Anolis sagrei: one gene and its partner. The protein of the gene in region 2 interacts with the protein of the main gene of each other region in a pairwise test. Links are inferred from orthologs where the notes say so. Each region holds a gene or a part of one and is shown on either strand. Other genes may lie near its edges.

The links. The genes of interacting proteins can lie anywhere in the genome.
Region 1: the proteins of DDX17 (region 2) and RBM15 interact in binary tests that used the Homo sapiens proteins (3 or more experiments, as listed by UniProt). The link is inferred for Anolis sagrei from reciprocal best matches to the Homo sapiens genes DDX17 and RBM15.

Annotation. Positions count from the first base shown.
Region 1 is NC_090024.1:183,681,823-183,690,408, forward strand, and holds the start of RBM15 (RNA-binding protein 15), read right to left. Parts: upstream 3,482-8,586; 5' UTR 3,316-3,481; coding exon 355-3,315; 3' UTR 1-354. UniProt on the Homo sapiens protein: RNA-binding protein that acts as a key regulator of N6-methyladenosine (m6A) methylation of RNAs, thereby regulating different processes, such as hematopoietic cell homeostasis, alternative splicing of mRNAs and X chromosome inactivation mediated by Xist RNA.
Region 2 is NC_090025.1:163,996,413-164,004,416, reverse strand, and holds the start of DDX17 (probable ATP-dependent RNA helicase DDX17), read right to left. Parts: upstream 3,141-8,004; 5' UTR 2,893-3,140; coding exon 2,849-2,892; intron 1-2,848. UniProt on the Homo sapiens protein: As an RNA helicase, unwinds RNA and alters RNA structures through ATP binding and hydrolysis.

The DNA.
Region 1 (8,586 bases), on a different chromosome or scaffold from region 2:
GACTTTTATAACTACTTTAAAGGTATGAAATGAAAAAGGACAAAAAGTTAAAAGCTAAAAAAAGGGAGACAGACTTATTTTGGGATCCATATTTTTAAATGATGCAGACCTTCCCTTCCTACTACCTGTTGATCAGCAAGACAGGCAAAGGTGGTAGAGTCATACTACTCAAAAGTTAATATGTCTGCCTTCTAAAGAATTTAAAGAAAGTTATAGGGAGATAACATCAGCTATGGCTCTAATTAAAATTATACTTTGGGGGCTGGCTAAGGCTTATCGCATAGCACCTGGCAGACACTGGAACAGGGGAGGCTGTATGAAGCAGCAGGACAGAGCACAGAAAGCGTTACGGCTTTAAGATGCACCACGGACAATGATCATGACCAAATAGTCATCCTCTGACTTAGCCAGGGCCTTGGCTGTAGTATCCAGGAACTGCTGAGAAAAATCACAAGGTGGGAAAGCATGCAAGACCCCGCTGTTTTCTTTGTCTTTGTTGCCTCCTACTGGGAGGCTTATCACTCCAGCTGCCTGTTTTTGTTTGAGATAGGACACCAGGTTTCTGAGTGGTCGCTGTGTGGAGGTGGTGTTAGCATCACCAGCCCCAGATGAGGCACGGTTGTCTGTGGTTCCAGGCACAGCCAGAAGAATAGCATATCCATTAGGCCCTGCCACTTTGATGCGACGAGTAACTTCATCCAATTTAGGCTGGTCCAGACGGAGTCGCTGGGTGATTTTTAGCTGGGCCACTTTGCCACCAGTTGCTCCTTCTACCAGGAGACTGCTGGCCACACTCAGATCTCCTTGAAGTAGGTGCATGTTAGACGGGAAGTTGCTGTTCTTCAACAAAAGCATTCCTTGCCAAGCCAGGCAGAGTTTGGGGGATGACCCAGACTTTGAGCCTCCATCCTGCTGTTGCTGCTTTTGAGGGGGAGGTTTCAAGCGTGATCCTCCGCCACTGCTCCCTTCAGAGACATGTTCATCTTTTTTAGCTGGGCTCTTGCACTCTTGAGCCGCAGCTACTGCGAGGGTGCGATGTTTTCGTTCCCTTTCTACCGAACTCTTGTGCTCACGCTTCTCATTTTGGCCTCTCTCCAAGCTACCCCTACGTGACTCTCTGATGGGTGAATGGCGATCCAGCAGGAGCAAACGGGAAGATGACCGTTCTGCATCACTCCCATAGCGGTCTCTGCCTATGCCAGGCTCAGGACTACGATCTTGTGGAGAAGCTGCAGTAGGGCAATGCCGTTTGCGGGAAGAAGATGACCGTTCGCTATCAGGCGAACGGTCCAAATGCCGTCCCCCATCCTCCACCAGTCTTCGCTTCCTGGGTGGGTCCCTGCTGCCACCGCCTAACTCCCTTTCCCCGCGAGTTCTCTCTAGAGACCAACCGTCTCGCCTGCGTTCCAGGCTCTCAAGTGCATCATAGACAGTTGCTCTGTTGCCCCGGTCTCGAACTGGAGGTGGGGGAGGAACCCACTCTGTTTCAGGATATAAATCTCTGTCACGGTCATACAGCAGTGGTGGGGTCCTATCCCGTGCACCTCGGAGTGGATCAGGTGGTGCACCACGATGCGCCCCAAAGGCAGATGTCTCTGCTACCAACTCATAATGGCCAGGGGGCGGAAGCGGCAAGGGCTGCAAATAGGGCTGCTGATAGTGATGCTCTGTGTCAGCAAAGTCCACCCTCAAACGGCGGTCCGGTCCACCCAAGGGGAAGCCACGCATGTGAGTACAAGCAGCCTGGGCAGCATCCAAACTCTCATACTGGATGTAGGCCCAGGAATCCCCTTTCCGATAGTCAATGGTGCGGATAGTACCAAAACGGTCAAATTCCCTGGCAAGGGCGGCTAGCGGCACCCAAGGCCCCAGCCCACCGACCCAGAGCCGCGTGGTGGGGGTGGCCTTGCCATAGCCAATTTTGATAGGATTACACAGCAGCACTTTGCCTGACATGGCGAGCTTAGCCCGATGGGCCATATCCAAATTTTCAAACTTGAGAAAGCCATAAGTACTCGTCTGTCCTCGGGACGGCCGCTTGATATCCACCTCCGTGATCACCCCAAAGCGATCAAAAGCCCTCTGGAGGTCCGACTCGGTCACCGAGATGTCCAGGTTGCCCAGGAAGAGTGTGCGGTTGGCCCGCTGGTCGTCTTCGGGGCTGATCTCCTCCTCGCTGGCCGTCCCTGTGCCGCCCACTCCGCGGAAGGCAGCCGCCGCAGCCACTCCAGCCACACGCTCCAGGCTGTAGGCGGGTCGGACCCGGTCGTAGAAGCCCCCATAGTCCCGCTCCCTCTCCAGCTCACGGGGCAGTGGCGGGGGAGGCAGGCGGCCCAGGGCCAGCTGCTGCAGCCGGAAGTCCCTGTAGCCCAGGCCGGCCCCTCCGCCGGCGGGAGAGAGGGCCCTCTGAGCGGCAGCCGGAGGGTGCCTGAGGGCGGCGGGAGCGGCGCCCGCTACGCCCACGCCCGCGGCTCCGTAAGGGGAGTCCTTATCTAGGATGGCTGGGGAGCGGCTGCTCCTTCGCCGCCCGCTTGCCCCGCTGCCCACATAGACGGCCTCAATCTTCAGGGGCCTGTCATAGAGGACCAGGCGGCCTCGGGCGTGCTTGGCGGCGCGGGCGTCCTCCGGGCGGCGGAAGTTGACGAAGGCCACCCTCTCGTCGGCAGCGCCTGTCCCGGGCGGGAGGCGGCTGATCTTGACACTCACATCCCCGAAGCGCTTGAACTCGTGGAAGAGCCCGTCCTCGATGGCCTCGTCGCTCAGCGCGTTGCCCAGCTCACTGATCTTGAGCGTCTTGTACTCACTGCCGCCGCCGGAGTCTGAAGGGGGCGCCCGGGAATCCCCTCCTCCTCCTCCGCCTCCTCCTCCGCCTCGGCTGCTGCTGCCCCGCGAGGACGACGACGACTCCGCGTTCTTGCTGCTGCTGTTGCTGTAGCCATGTCGGCCGCCGCCGCTCCCCGTCACCGCCTCGTACTCGCGGCTGCTGGCCCGGCTGGCCTTCTCCAAGTGGAGGCCCCGGCGGCTGCTGCTGCTGCTGCTCCCGCCCTCTCCAGAGCCACCGCCCGCCGACTTCCCGCCGCCGTTGCTCGGCTTCTTACTGCTCCGCTCGCCTCGCACGGAGGAGGAGGAGTCGTCGCCGCCACCGCCGCCGCTGCTGCTCCCTCCGCCCCGGGAGCGCTTGGCCTTGGCCGGGGAACGCTCCTTGCCCTTCATGGCGGCGGGCGCCAGCGAGAGGGAAGCGCGCGCCCAGTACCGCGCCTCACGCAGCCCCCGCCGCCATCTTGGAATCTCCTGCAGGCTCGGAACCCCGCCCATGCGGGCGCCATTGGGCCCTCTCCGCTCGCCTCGGCATCCTCATTGCACGAAGCGCCTGTCAATCTAAAGCGAGGCGGTGGTGGTGGTGGGGGGAGGAAGCACCAGGCGGTGCGATGCTCCGGAAGCGGAAAGCCCGCCTTTTCCTGTATCGGCCTTCCTTTTGTCGCTCGGAAAAGTTGGGTTGAGAGGAACGCTAACTCCGCCATCCCATAGACCCATTGCCTGGGTAACTAAATCCGTTTCTCCATTTGGGTTGGACAAGAGTGCTGTCAATCTTTCCTTATTTCTCTCACAGCCGTATCCGTAGCGTTCATTGGCTATTGGGTTTTGGTTTTTTAAAATTCCAGGGAGGGGTGGGAGGCTGAGGAGCTCGCGCAAGCAGCTTTAATTTGATTGGATGGTGGCCATGCCTATCGCAACCGTCCCAACGGGTGACTGGGATTGGGGTGCCGTGAGCTGATTGGACGGTGAGGTAATCTGGCGGAGGCTGAGGCGAGGCCTGCTTCCTTGGCCTTCTCCGGGGCACGAGAGGAGCGCGGCCTCGATTGACGTCACGCTGCTCTTCCAGGGGAGTTGAGGAAAGGGCCTTGGCGCGGGCGGACTGGGCGGCTGGCGGGAAGGGCCACAGCAGGCATTTGCAAAGCTGGGCCCTCCAAGTGTTTTGGACTTCAACTCCCAGAATTCCTGACAGCCTCAGGCCCCTTCCTTTTCCCCCTTCCGCTTAAGCGGCTGAGGGGGAAAAGGAAAGGACCTGAGGCTGTCAGGAATTCTGGGAGTTGAAGTCCAAAACACCTGGAGGGCCCAGCTTTGCCCATGCCTATGTTCCAGCCTCAGCCACACACCAGCATGAATCTATGAACCATATAAGGGTTCCTGAAGCCAAACCTTGGTTGCTCTCATTTTATAGCTGAGACACCATTTTACTACACCATTACACGAAATGGAGCTTGCCCACCCACAGATTTTGTTACCCCCGAGGGTCCTCGGCCCACGTCCCAGCAGACGCCAATGGGTTCACTGTTCTGGGAACAAGATTGGGCCTCGTGGCACCCAACAGCACCATTGTTAATACAGGAACTCAACTTTCCAATGACACTATTGCATCAACCGCTTCCAAGCTGGTCCCAGGAGGCCTCTGGAAAAAATTCACCACTATGCAACAGCATTTTTGTTCCTCTGTTATCAATGTTGTTTCCTAATTGGTCCTATCATAAAAACATGGTAAAGGTTTATTAACCTGCAAAAACTTTGTTTTTGTGGGACTTCGTGCAGCACATGTTGCAACAGTTTTTCAATTAATACCCCATAGGGCCCTTCCACAAAGCTCTATATTCCAGAATATCAAAGCAGAAAATCCCACAATATCTGCTTTGAACTGGCTTATCTCAGAGCTCTTCCACACAGCCCTATATCCCAGAATATCAAGGCAGAAAAGCCCACAATATCTGCGTTGCACTGGCTTGTCTGAAGGCTCTTCCACACAGCCCTATATCCCAGAATATCAAGGCAGAAAATCCCACAATATCTGCTTTGAACTGGCTTATCTGAGGGCCCTTCCACACAACCCTATATCCCAGAATATCAAGGCAGAAAAGCCCTCAGTATCTGCCTTGATCGGGTTATCTGAGTCCACACTCACATAATGTGGGATTTTCTGCCTTGATATTCTGGGATATAGGGCTGTGTGGAAGGGTCCATAGAGACTCAACAAATTCAACATAGTTTGTGGCAGCCACAGAAATGGAGTTTCTGGAGTATAACAACTACTTTCAAAGGAAGCACCACACAATTATACAGGAAACAACACTTTCAAAACAGTAATGATTCTCCCCTTATCTTATTATTGCATAGTGAGACTTGGATCTCGACATTATCATACACACAAATCTTTATTATGGTCATAGGCCAGCATGAGGAGAGGGTTACAGTCTCATAAAAGCATTGTACATCAAAATCTAAAAGTCTAGAAAACAGGTATGTTGAAGGCTGCAGCACAAAATTATCTAGAATAATAATAATAATATGATGATGATGATGATGGTGATAATAATAATAAATCTTTATATCCTGCTTTTCTCCCTCATGGGACCCAAAGCAACTTACAACATATTAAAATCATGTAAACAACAATCCAAATACACCAATGATAAGTATAAAATATTATAAAATAAAGAGTTTAAAACAACAATAATATGCATTCACATTCTTGTGGCATGTCATTATATTGCAGTTTGTTCCTGTCCATAAACATGGTGTTTCTTATTATTCCAGCTTAGTTTCCTAAACAAAAGGGGAAGGGTCTAGCATGGGATGGAGAGAGAGGAAAATTGATGGGAGGGGCCTAGGAACATTCAGGGCACAAGTCTAGGGGAGGAGGGCACTAATTTATATTTTAGTTAGCAGATGGTTAGATTGCTAACTTTTGGAGCCAGTCATTATATAGCAGATTTTAATTGCTGCTGCACAGAACTTTGCAACATTATGGGTTATAACTGAATTGGTATCTGAAAGCAGCAGGGTGGTGTAGAATTGTCTCCACAAGTATTACGAACATGTTGTGGAGGTAGGTAAATCTGTTGATTTATGAACAATTATGGGAATAATTTTGTGGACCTTAACAGCAGCCTATGCCACGGTGCAACATAGAAATATGTTGCATAAAATCTACCATATTACCTGGAACTTTGATTTCACAAAAACGATCCAGATCCTTCTAGAAAACTGCAGCGTCTTTGTGGAATTTCAAGGCAGGAAAAGTAGATGGGGGAGGCAAAAGAATGGTTCACTCCAAGGCAGCATTCTTGCACCAACCTTGTTTAACATCTTTACTAACGATCAGCCATAGCCACCACTTTCAAAGAGCTTTATATATGCTGATGACCTTGGCATAACAACACAAGCAAAAAAACTGAAACAGTCAGAAACCAACTTACTAATGCCTTGAAAGATCTCTCCAGCTATTATAATGATAAACACCTGGAGCCTAACTTTGCCAAGACACAATTGTGTGCTTTCCACCTACAGAACCACGAAGCTAGCAGGAAATTGAAAGTTACGCGGGAAGACCAAGAGGTCAAACACCGTTTCCATCCTAAATATCTTGGCATCATCTTAGATTGAACACTAACATTTAGGAAACACTACATGAACACCAAGCACAAAGCAGCCCCACACAATAACATCGTGTGGAAACTTACTGGCAGTGCATGGGGAACAGACCCAAAATTAATAAGAACATCAGTTCCGGCCTTGTCTTACTCAACTGAGTATGCCTGCCCTGCTTGCATAAGTCTGTTTATGTGAAGCAGATGAACATAGCACAGAATGAAACATGCAGAATAATCACAGGATGTCTCAAACCTACACTTGTTGATAAACTCTACAAGCTAGCTGGCATTGCCCCCCCTCCCCACTCAATGTGCAACGGGAAGTTGCTGCTAACTGTGAGAGAAATAAGGTTGAACACTTAAAGCCACCCACTGCATGGCTATCAGCCTCCTCCCAGTAGACTCAAATCAAGGAAAAGCTTCATAGGAACCACAACTCCTCTGTCACCCGCTACTAAGGAGGCTGTACAGGTCCTGAACCGGTGCTTGGCTGCTGTGACGGTCTGAATGAGAGCAAACAAATTGAAATTGAATCCAGACAAGACAGAGGTATTCCTGGTCAGCCGCAAGGCCGAACAGGGCATAGGGTTACAGCCTGTGTTGGATGTGGTTACACTCCCCCTGAAGATGCAGGTTCGCAGCTTGGGTGTGATCCTGGATTTATTGCTGAGCCTGGAACCTCAGGTTTCGGCAGTGACCAAGGGAGCATTTGCACAGTTAAAACTTGTGCGCCAGCTGCGCCCGTGCCGTGGGCAGTCTGACTTGGCCACGGTAGTCCATGCTCTGGTTACATCCTGTATAGACTACTGCAATGCTGTCTACATGGGGTTGCCTTTGAAGACGGTCCAGAAGTTTCAATGAGTCCAACAAACAGCAGCCAGATTGCTTACAGGAGCGGCGCTCAGGGAGTGTGATGGCACACCAGGAAGATCTAATGAGAAACCTAAATGTGTCTGGCTATTTCCCCAGTGACCATCGGTATGCCCTAATTACTATAATTCCCCCAAAATAAAACTCTATAGACAAGATTAAGTTAACCAAATTGAGTTTACTGAATAATTAAGGTGAATAACAACAATGAACAAAGGTGAGAATTGATTATGATAATATAACTCTGAGGTAACAAATTACTATTTTGTGAGGTAAATATAACTATGGCAAGTATATTCTGATCTATAATCTATAAAGCAAATATAACTATTAACTATAGGGGAATGTATAACTATAGACTATAGCATGTACAACTATGAACTCTGGGTTTGTATAACTATAAACTATCTGTAATCTATAAACTTTGGCATATGTGTATTATCTATGAAATATATAAAATCTATAAACTATAAGGCAAATATGTGTTATTAACTTTAAGGCAAATACTATCTATTCTATGGCAAACTATCTATGAACTCTCTATCTATAGGGCAAGTACGTGATTAGGATGGCCTGTTCAAATTGCTAGGCCAGACCAGACACTATCTGGCAACTGTCTATTAGCTATGACCAACAAAGAATGGGAAACGAAGTTCTATAACCAGCCCATTTTGGCTCTGAGTCAGAATGGGCTGCACCAACCGAACTCGGCCTCTAGGGGGAACCTAAGCTCTCCCCTAAACTTGGTAAAATGGAACAGTCCAACTGAGAAATAAACAGGCCGAGACATCACAGGGAGCATACAACTCCCTTGTTGCGCCAGCTCCACTGGCTGCTGGTTTGCCACCGGGCCCAATTCAAAGTGCTGGTTTTGGCCTATAAAGCCATAAACGGTTCTGGTCCAACTTACCTGTCCAAACGTGTCTCCCCTTATGAATCATTGAGGACTCTTAAGATTGTCTGGAGATGCCCTGCTCCCGGTCCCAAGTACGTTTGGCGGGGATGAGAGACAGGGCCTTCTCAGTGGTGGCCCCTTGGCTATGGGACATCCTCCCTAGGGAGATTAGATCTGCTCCCTCCCTCAACATTTTGGAGGCAAGTTAAAACATGGCTGTTCGAGCTAGCGTTTACAAATGCAGAGTAGCTAATATAGGAAATCAAACGATTTGACAATAGAACTGGACAATGCTTGATAATAATGAGACGCTAATGATGTTGTTTTTATTGCTTTTGTGGTGTTTTATATTGTTCAATGTTTTAATCTGCATTATGTTTTTATATGTACTGATTTGTT
Region 2 (8,004 bases):
TCAAACTGGAACCTAGGCTTTCTTATTTAATAATCTACACAGCAAATAATGGTTTGAAAATGATTTAGGTGGTCATTGCAGATAATAATAATGCCCCTTCCTGGTGCAGTGCCAAAGACCTTGGCCTGCACTTAAAAACAATCTGCGCTGACAAAATTGTCAGGAGGCCACCCTACCTGGATTTGTACACATTATTCACCAATACAATTAGGAGCCCCCGGTGGCGCAGTGGGTTAAACCCTTGTGCTGACAGGGCTAAAGACTGATAGGTCGCAGGTTCAAACCCCAGGAGAATGCGGATGAGCTCCCTCTATCAGCTCCAGCTCCTCATGCAGGGATATGAGAGAACCCTCCCAACAAGGATGATAAAACATCAAAACATCCAGGCGTCCCCTGGGCAACGTCCTTGCAGACGTCCAATTCTCTCACGTCAAAAGCAACTTACAGTTTCTCAAGTCGCTCCTGACACGGCAAAAAAACAAAACAAAACCCCAATACATTACACAGTTCTAGACACTTGGGAAGTGTCTTGACGTGTGATCAAATATAAAAGTCAGCTTAGTGATCTTATTTGCTGTGTACTAATCTTGTTGTGTATCTAACAACAACAACACTTTATTTATAATCTGCTCTATCTCCCCAAGTGGACTCAGGGTAGTTTCCACACAAAAAAGTGGCAAACATTCAATGCCATTAATGAAAACACACAAACCAATTCAAACCAATAATACGATAACATCACTTATAATAACTAACCAAAGTTAATAAATGAAAGCAATATAAAATAATTACTTAAAAGCATAATAAAATCTCGTTGCTCCCATTCAGAAAGGTATCATTCACTGTCTTGTGATTTTCCAAATCCTGCTGAATAAAGATTCAGCCTAAGGCTAGGCCATTTTCAGGAATGTCACAATACATATTTTTTTCTGATCCAGAAAGAAATTTTATGAGTTCCAAAACAACTAGGCTGCAATTCTAACTTGATATATTAGGAGATAAATAGAATCCAAACTGCCTTAAATGGTCAGTGTTGATCAGTGGTTCTCAACTTCTGGGTCCCCAGATGTTTTGGCCTTCAACTCCAAGAAATCCTAACAGCTGGTAAACTGCCTGGGATTTTTGGGAGTTGTAGGCCATAACACCTGGGGACCCATAGGTTGAGAACCACTAGTGTAGATGGCACTTTAGAAGTACATTTATTTTATTGTGATTCGTTTTTCAAACTTTTGGTTTATGATTATAGGTTGTACATGATGTCTTCTGCTTATAATTTTCTATATTTTTACCCCACTCTATCTCACTCCAAAGGGGACTCAGAGCGGCTTCCAGATTGGCAATAATTCAATGCCATAACAAACATAATCATACAAATACAATATACACCATACATTAAAATCAGGAGAAAAGCAGAAAAAATAGTAAACATATCAGTACATTAACACAACACAAGATTCAAAGTCATAATTCATAATGTGACTTAAAAGAGTCCACAGTATTGTGACTTAAAAGAGTCCATTGTGAGCCGCCATGAGACCTTGGGGAGAGAGGATGGGATATAAATAAAGTTTATTGTAAGTGTGACCTCAACTGACTTACATTGTAGAGCGGATGTGGGCAAACTCGGGCCCTCCAGGTGTTTTGGACTTCAACTCCCACCATTCCTAACAGCCTCAGGCCCTTTCCTGCTTAAGCGGCTGAGGGGGAAAAGGAAGGGGCCTGAGGCTGTTAGGAATGGTGGGAGTTGGAGTCCAAAACACCTGGAGGGCCCAAGTTGGCTCCCTACCTACTTTAGAGTTTGACAAAACTTCAACTGCCAGGGCTCAATGCTATAGAATTGTAGCAGCTGCAGAGGCACCAACCCCTCTTTGGCTGGAAATCCCTTTATAGAACTACAACTCCCTGGATACCATAACATTGAGCCAGAGCAGATGAAGCTAGTTTAATTTTATTGTAAACGCGCCTTCTAACTGTTTTGATATTTGCTGATGCACTGTTTTTAATATGATTTATGTTTAAAGTGTGGTTTTTTATTATTAGTCTCTCCAGGGCTAAATCCCTGGAGAAACTACAATGCCAAATAATAATAATAATAATAATTGGCATTGTAGTTTCTCCAGGGAATAAGAATTATTATTATTATTCTTTGGGCATTGTAGTTTCTCCAGGGAATAATAATAATAATGGTGTATATTGTATTTGTATGATTATTCTTCTTCTTCTTTGGGCGTTGTAGTTTCTCCAGGGAATAATAATAATAATTATTATTATTATATAATAATAAATATATACCATTATTATTATTATTATTATTCCCTGGAGAAACTACAACGCCCAAAGAATAATAATAATAATAATCATACAAATACAATATATACCATTATTATTATTATTATTCCCTGGAGAAACTACAACGCCCAAAGAATAATAATAATAATAATAATAATAATAAAACTACAGCGCCCAAAGAATAATAATAATAATCATACAAATACAATATATACCATTATTATTATTATTATTCCCTGGAGAAACTACAACGCCCAAAGAATAATAATAATAATAATAATAATAATAATAATGGTATATATTGTATTTGTATGATTATTATTATTATTCTTTGGGCGCTGTAGTTTCTCCAGGGACATAGCCGGGGGGGGGGGGGAGAGTGCGACAAATCCCTGGATTCCACAGCAATAGTGACGCAAACTGGATTAAATCGACAGTGTAGACGACCCCTTATTTCCCTCTGCTTTGATAGTGACCAAGAAAGGCCTAACGTTCAGCCTGGGAGGCCCCCTAAAGGGAGCTTTCGCGTGGCGTCCTTTGCTAGGCCTCATCCACTCACCCGCCGCGGTCTCGGTCGCGGCCTCGGTCCCCGAAGCCTCGCATCCTCGAAGGCCGAGAGTCAGTCGCCGGCGCGGGGGTTGAGAAAAGGACAACAGGCCGGCCTCGAAGGAACCAACAAGCAGCTTCTGTCTAAATCCTTTCAGAAGCAGCCTTCGGAGCTTTATTTCCTTGACTCGAGAGGCGCTTGGGGTCAAATTCCGGGCCGACTCGAGCCAGGCGCCGCTGAGGAGAACCTCCCCTGTCTTTCTTCTCCGGCCTGCTGACACAAAATGGCCGCCGCCGCCCGAGCTCGCCTCACTTTACGTTATCAGCCCAGCCCACTCTTGCGTAAAGCGCGTCTCTGAATAGCCAATTGTGCGCTAATTGCGCATTCAACGGCACTTTCGCCAAGTTGCCCCTAAGATACGCTGACAAAGTCCAGGCTAACGCCACCTTTCTGCCTATTCTCGAATCATCGAACCCCGGAAGAAACACAACCGCCTCCGCAATCTGCGTAAGCTCCCTGTGCCGGTTTTAGCGTAAAGAAACTAGTTTCCGGCGTAGGAACTGCTGGGAAGGAGCACAACTCCGCACTCTCTGTAGCGTATTTTTGTTTAAAGAATACTAACTTCCAACTGGACAGGCAAGAGGCGGGACCGGCTTTGTGGAACAATGAACTGTTCTCTTAGACTTAGGCCACAAAGGAAGATATGGAGACTTCACCCCCAGCTTTCTCTGTTTGGCCCTTCAAAAATACAGAAAGTCTGTACATTTAAGTTCACTTCTGTCTAGCTATTAATGTGCTTTGATACATCAATCAGTGAAACAATCCCAGAAAAAGCAGCCGAGTTATATATTTGTGTCTGTAGCCAGGATGACTGGTTTCTCCTTGTTTCTAAGGAACTCAGACTTGGTTTTTGTATAGTTCATCCGCAGCTGAAGTAAAGTTTTTTTTTATTTCTACGACTGATTCTTTAATAATGCTAATAACAATGGCAATAAAATGCTTTTTTCACAATCAATTTCTGAAATTAAAAAAACCTACTTGTGTATATTGGATTGCTGTGAGTTTTCCGGGCTGTATGGCAATTTTCTGGAAGCATTCTCTCCTGACATTTTGCCCTCATCTTTGGAGGCTTTTAAACAGGCTGGATGGCCATCAGTTGGGGGGTGCTTTGAATGCAATATTCCTGCTTCTTGGCAGGGGGTTGGACTGGATGGCCCATGAGGTCTCTTCCAACTGTATGATTCTATTATTCTAGGTATCCTCAGAGATTGTGAGGTACACATCCTCAAAACAATATACAGCTCTGGTCCAGCGTACCTGTCCGAAAGTATCTCCTACATCCCACCTTGGAGTTTAAGATCTTCTGGGCAGGCTCTGCTCTCGGCCCCGCCTCTGTCTCAAACACGTTTGGTGGAGATGAGGGACAGGGCCTTCTCGGTGGTGGCCCCCCGCCTGTGGAATTCACTCCCCGGGGAAATTAGGTCATCATCATCCCTCCTCACCTTTAGAAAGAAGATAAAAACGTGGATGTGGGACCAAGCCTTCGGGTAATTAAGCAGAAATGACAATTGACAATGTTGACAATGGCTTGGAAATGGATTATGGATAAGTTAAACAGAGTACTCAATCATAGTATACAGCTAGTTAAATGACCACCAGACTGGTAATAACTCAGTGGACTCTAAGTATATTGTTTTAATGTTTTATGTTTTTATGCTTTTAACTATTATAATTATTGGTGTTTTGTATTTTATTATGCGGCATCGAATTGTTGCCAGTTGGAAGCTGCCCTGAGTTGAGGTTGAGAAGGGCAGGGTAAAAACATTCAAAATAATTAAAATAAATAAATAGTGCCTGCCATAGATGTGGGCGAAACATCAAGAGAAAATGCTTCTGGAACAGGGCTGTACTGCCCAGAAAATTCATAGCAAACCAGTGATTCCGGCCATCAAAGCCTTTGACAACATACTCCCATATATATTTGCATTTTCTTTGTGGCTTTTTCTTTTCTTCTTCCTTTTGCCTCATATGCCTTGTCCATCTCCCTTTCCTTCTTCTCTTGCTTTTTCTCATACATCTTCGCTTTTATTTGCTTGCTCTTCCTTTTTTCCCCCTCATGCTTCTTTCTTCTCTTCCTTTCTTTACTATCCTCCCCTCCCCTCTTCCTTTTTTCCTTTCTCTTCACTTTTTTCTTTCTTCCCGCCCTTCTTTCATTCCTTTCTTCCTTCCTTCCTTTCTCATACTTTCCTCTCCTCTCTTATACCTTTTTTCTATTCTGTTATCCTTCCCCCACTACATGTTGAAAATAGCAATCTCCTACCAGTTTCCTACACTAGATATTTGTTTTTGTATATAATTGAGATTGCTGGCTATATTGTATGTATATATTGGTATGCAGTTTTGCCCTTAACTCTATGTTGTTAGAGGTTGTGGGAGGGACTAGAGATCACGTGACCCTGTTCTTAGAGTGTTCAGAGTGGGACTCCATTTCAGAATGCGTTTGAATCAGAAGTCTGTTGGAGTCAGTTAAGTCAGTTAGAATTATTATTATTCTTTGAAACATTTGTATTCTACCCTTCTCACCCTGAAGGGGACTCAACAGCAAATATTCCATGCCGGGACATAAAATAACTATAAATATACACAAACATTAAAATCATTCATATCTACTTTTAAATCAGCTGTTCAAAACCGTCTCGAGACACCATGCTGGCCCTGGTCAGTGAAGTTCCCTATTGTTGCATCATTGCACTGCCCCAAAGGCTTGGTCCTACAACCAGGTCTTTAGCATCTTTCTGAAGGACAGAAGAGAGGGGGCTGATCTAATCTCATCAGGAAGGGAATTCCATAGCCGGGTGGCAATAACTGAGAAGGCCTTCTCTCTCATCCCCGCCAAACACGCCTGTGACAGAGGCAGGACCAAGAGCGGGGCCTCCCCAGAAGATCTTAGTCTTCATGTTGGTTCATAAAGGGAGATGCATTCAGACTGGTAAACTGGACCAGGGTGTTTAGGGCTTTGTAGGCCAAAGCCAGCACTTTGAATTGTGCCCGGTAGCAAACAGGCAGCCAGTGGAGCTGACGTAACATGGGAGTTGTGTGCCAAGTTATTAACCTGGCTGCCTCTTGTTGGACTATTTGAAGCTTCCAAATAGTCTTCAAAGGCAACCCCATGTAGAGTGCATTGCAGTAGTCTATCCTGGATGTAAAGAGAGCGTGGACCACCATAGCCAAGTCTGACTTTCCAAGGTATGGGTGCAACTGCCACACAAGTTTTAATTGTACGAAAGCCCCCCTAGTCACCGTCGAAACCTGAAGCTCCAGGCTCAGCAATGAGTCCAGGAGAACTCCCAAGCTGCGAACCTGCGCCTTCAGAGGGAATGTAACCCCATCCTTGCAAATGACCAGGAGGACCTCTGTCTTGTCTGGATTCAACTTCAAATTTTTCGCCCTCATCCAGACTGTCACAGCAGCTAGGCATTGGTTCACGACCTGGGCAGCCTCCTTAGCATCTGGTGGAAAGGAGTGCAGTTGGACATCATCTGCGTACAGATGGCATTGAACTCCAAAACTCCAGATGATCTCACCTAGCACATTCATGTAGATGTTAAACAACATGAGGGACAAGACTGAACCCTGTGGAACACCACAGTTGAGAAGTCAGAAGTCAGTTGAGGCTTGAGTGTTGTGGTGAGGGGATTGGGGTTTCAGAGCCTGAGGGAGTGGTGAATGAGTTTGAAAGTGGAACTGTTTTGGAGTCCAGCAGACAGGGAGAAGACCTTTCACCCACAAGGAGCATAGCAACTCCTGATAAAGACCTAGCAGACCAAGATAGCTCATCCAAGAGAACAGTTGAGTTAGACAGGGATATCAGGCTGGAACTTAAGGGAAAAAAACATCAGGTGCGGGAAATCCAAAAGAATAATTGAGAAAGATGCACAGGCAAAGTTTCACAAGCCAGAACCTCAAGGTCAAAAATGCCTTCATGTTTTGCAGCTCTTAAATTAGATAGTGTCTCATTGAGAGTTCAGATCAGGCAACGCTGCTTAATAGTAAGGATGTCAAGTCATGTTTCCAGTTCAGGTTCCTGGGTGTTTTGATTCATGTTTTAAGTTCTTATAGCCATGGTTTTTCTGGATTCATGTTTATATTATGATTCTTGTTTTCCTGTACCATTTGGATTATTGCCTTTGAAGTGTTTTACTCCTCACCAGCTTGGTTGGGTTTTTATATATTGACTACCTTTTCTGATTATCTGTTGGATTTTGCCTTTCTTACTCCTTTGGGGGATTTTCCCCTTTTTATATGTGCTCTCATCCGACTGGTATTTTACTACTGCTTTTGGATTTCTGGTTTGTGCTAATGGCAAGGTGAACTCTATCTGGGGTACAACGTCGAGTCAGTTGGGAGTTAGAAGTTAGTTGAGACAGTAAATGTCAGTTAGAGCAGGAGTGTAGATAGTATGCTGAAGTGAGGTGTCAATTAATATATGAGTCTGTTTGCAGCAGATGTACAGTATAGTACAGTTTTAAATATAATTCAGTTAACATGAAACCAATAAGCAATGTACCTGTATGCTAAATACATGAAGTTTGTAAGTAAATAAAATATGTTAACTTTTAACAAAGACTACTTTATTTTTTGGTCTCTTGAAAGTATGATTTAAAAGCAATATATTTTATGGGAAAGTAGATATATTTTTGGGCTATTGAAAATAACACTTCCGATGAGCTGCTATATTGATGCATTGGCATATCTTTGTTCCTAACAGTTCAGAGAGAGAACCAGGTATATCAGCCTAACAGCTAGGAAGCCTAAATTGCCTTGCATAAATACTAGTGTATATTTACTACTAGGGAGAAGACTGATTCAAGCATATTTTTAACTCTTCTCAGGAAGATCATACTTTACAAAAAGGTTATAATCTCTAACAAGGTCATGCCTTTCCAAACAGTGTGAAAACCAATTAATTTCCGAAAGGGTCATGCTTCCAAAAGCCTGTGGAGATTCCTAGTTTTCCCGGTACTTTCTTCCTTCTCTCCTTTTCTTCCTCCCTTCCCCTCATACACATGTCACCTAGCAACAGCTTTGTTCCTTTTCTTTCCCTCTGGGCTCAAAAGGAGTAGGTTTTTTAATAGTTCAAACCCTTCAATTATTTTAAGTTGGCTAAT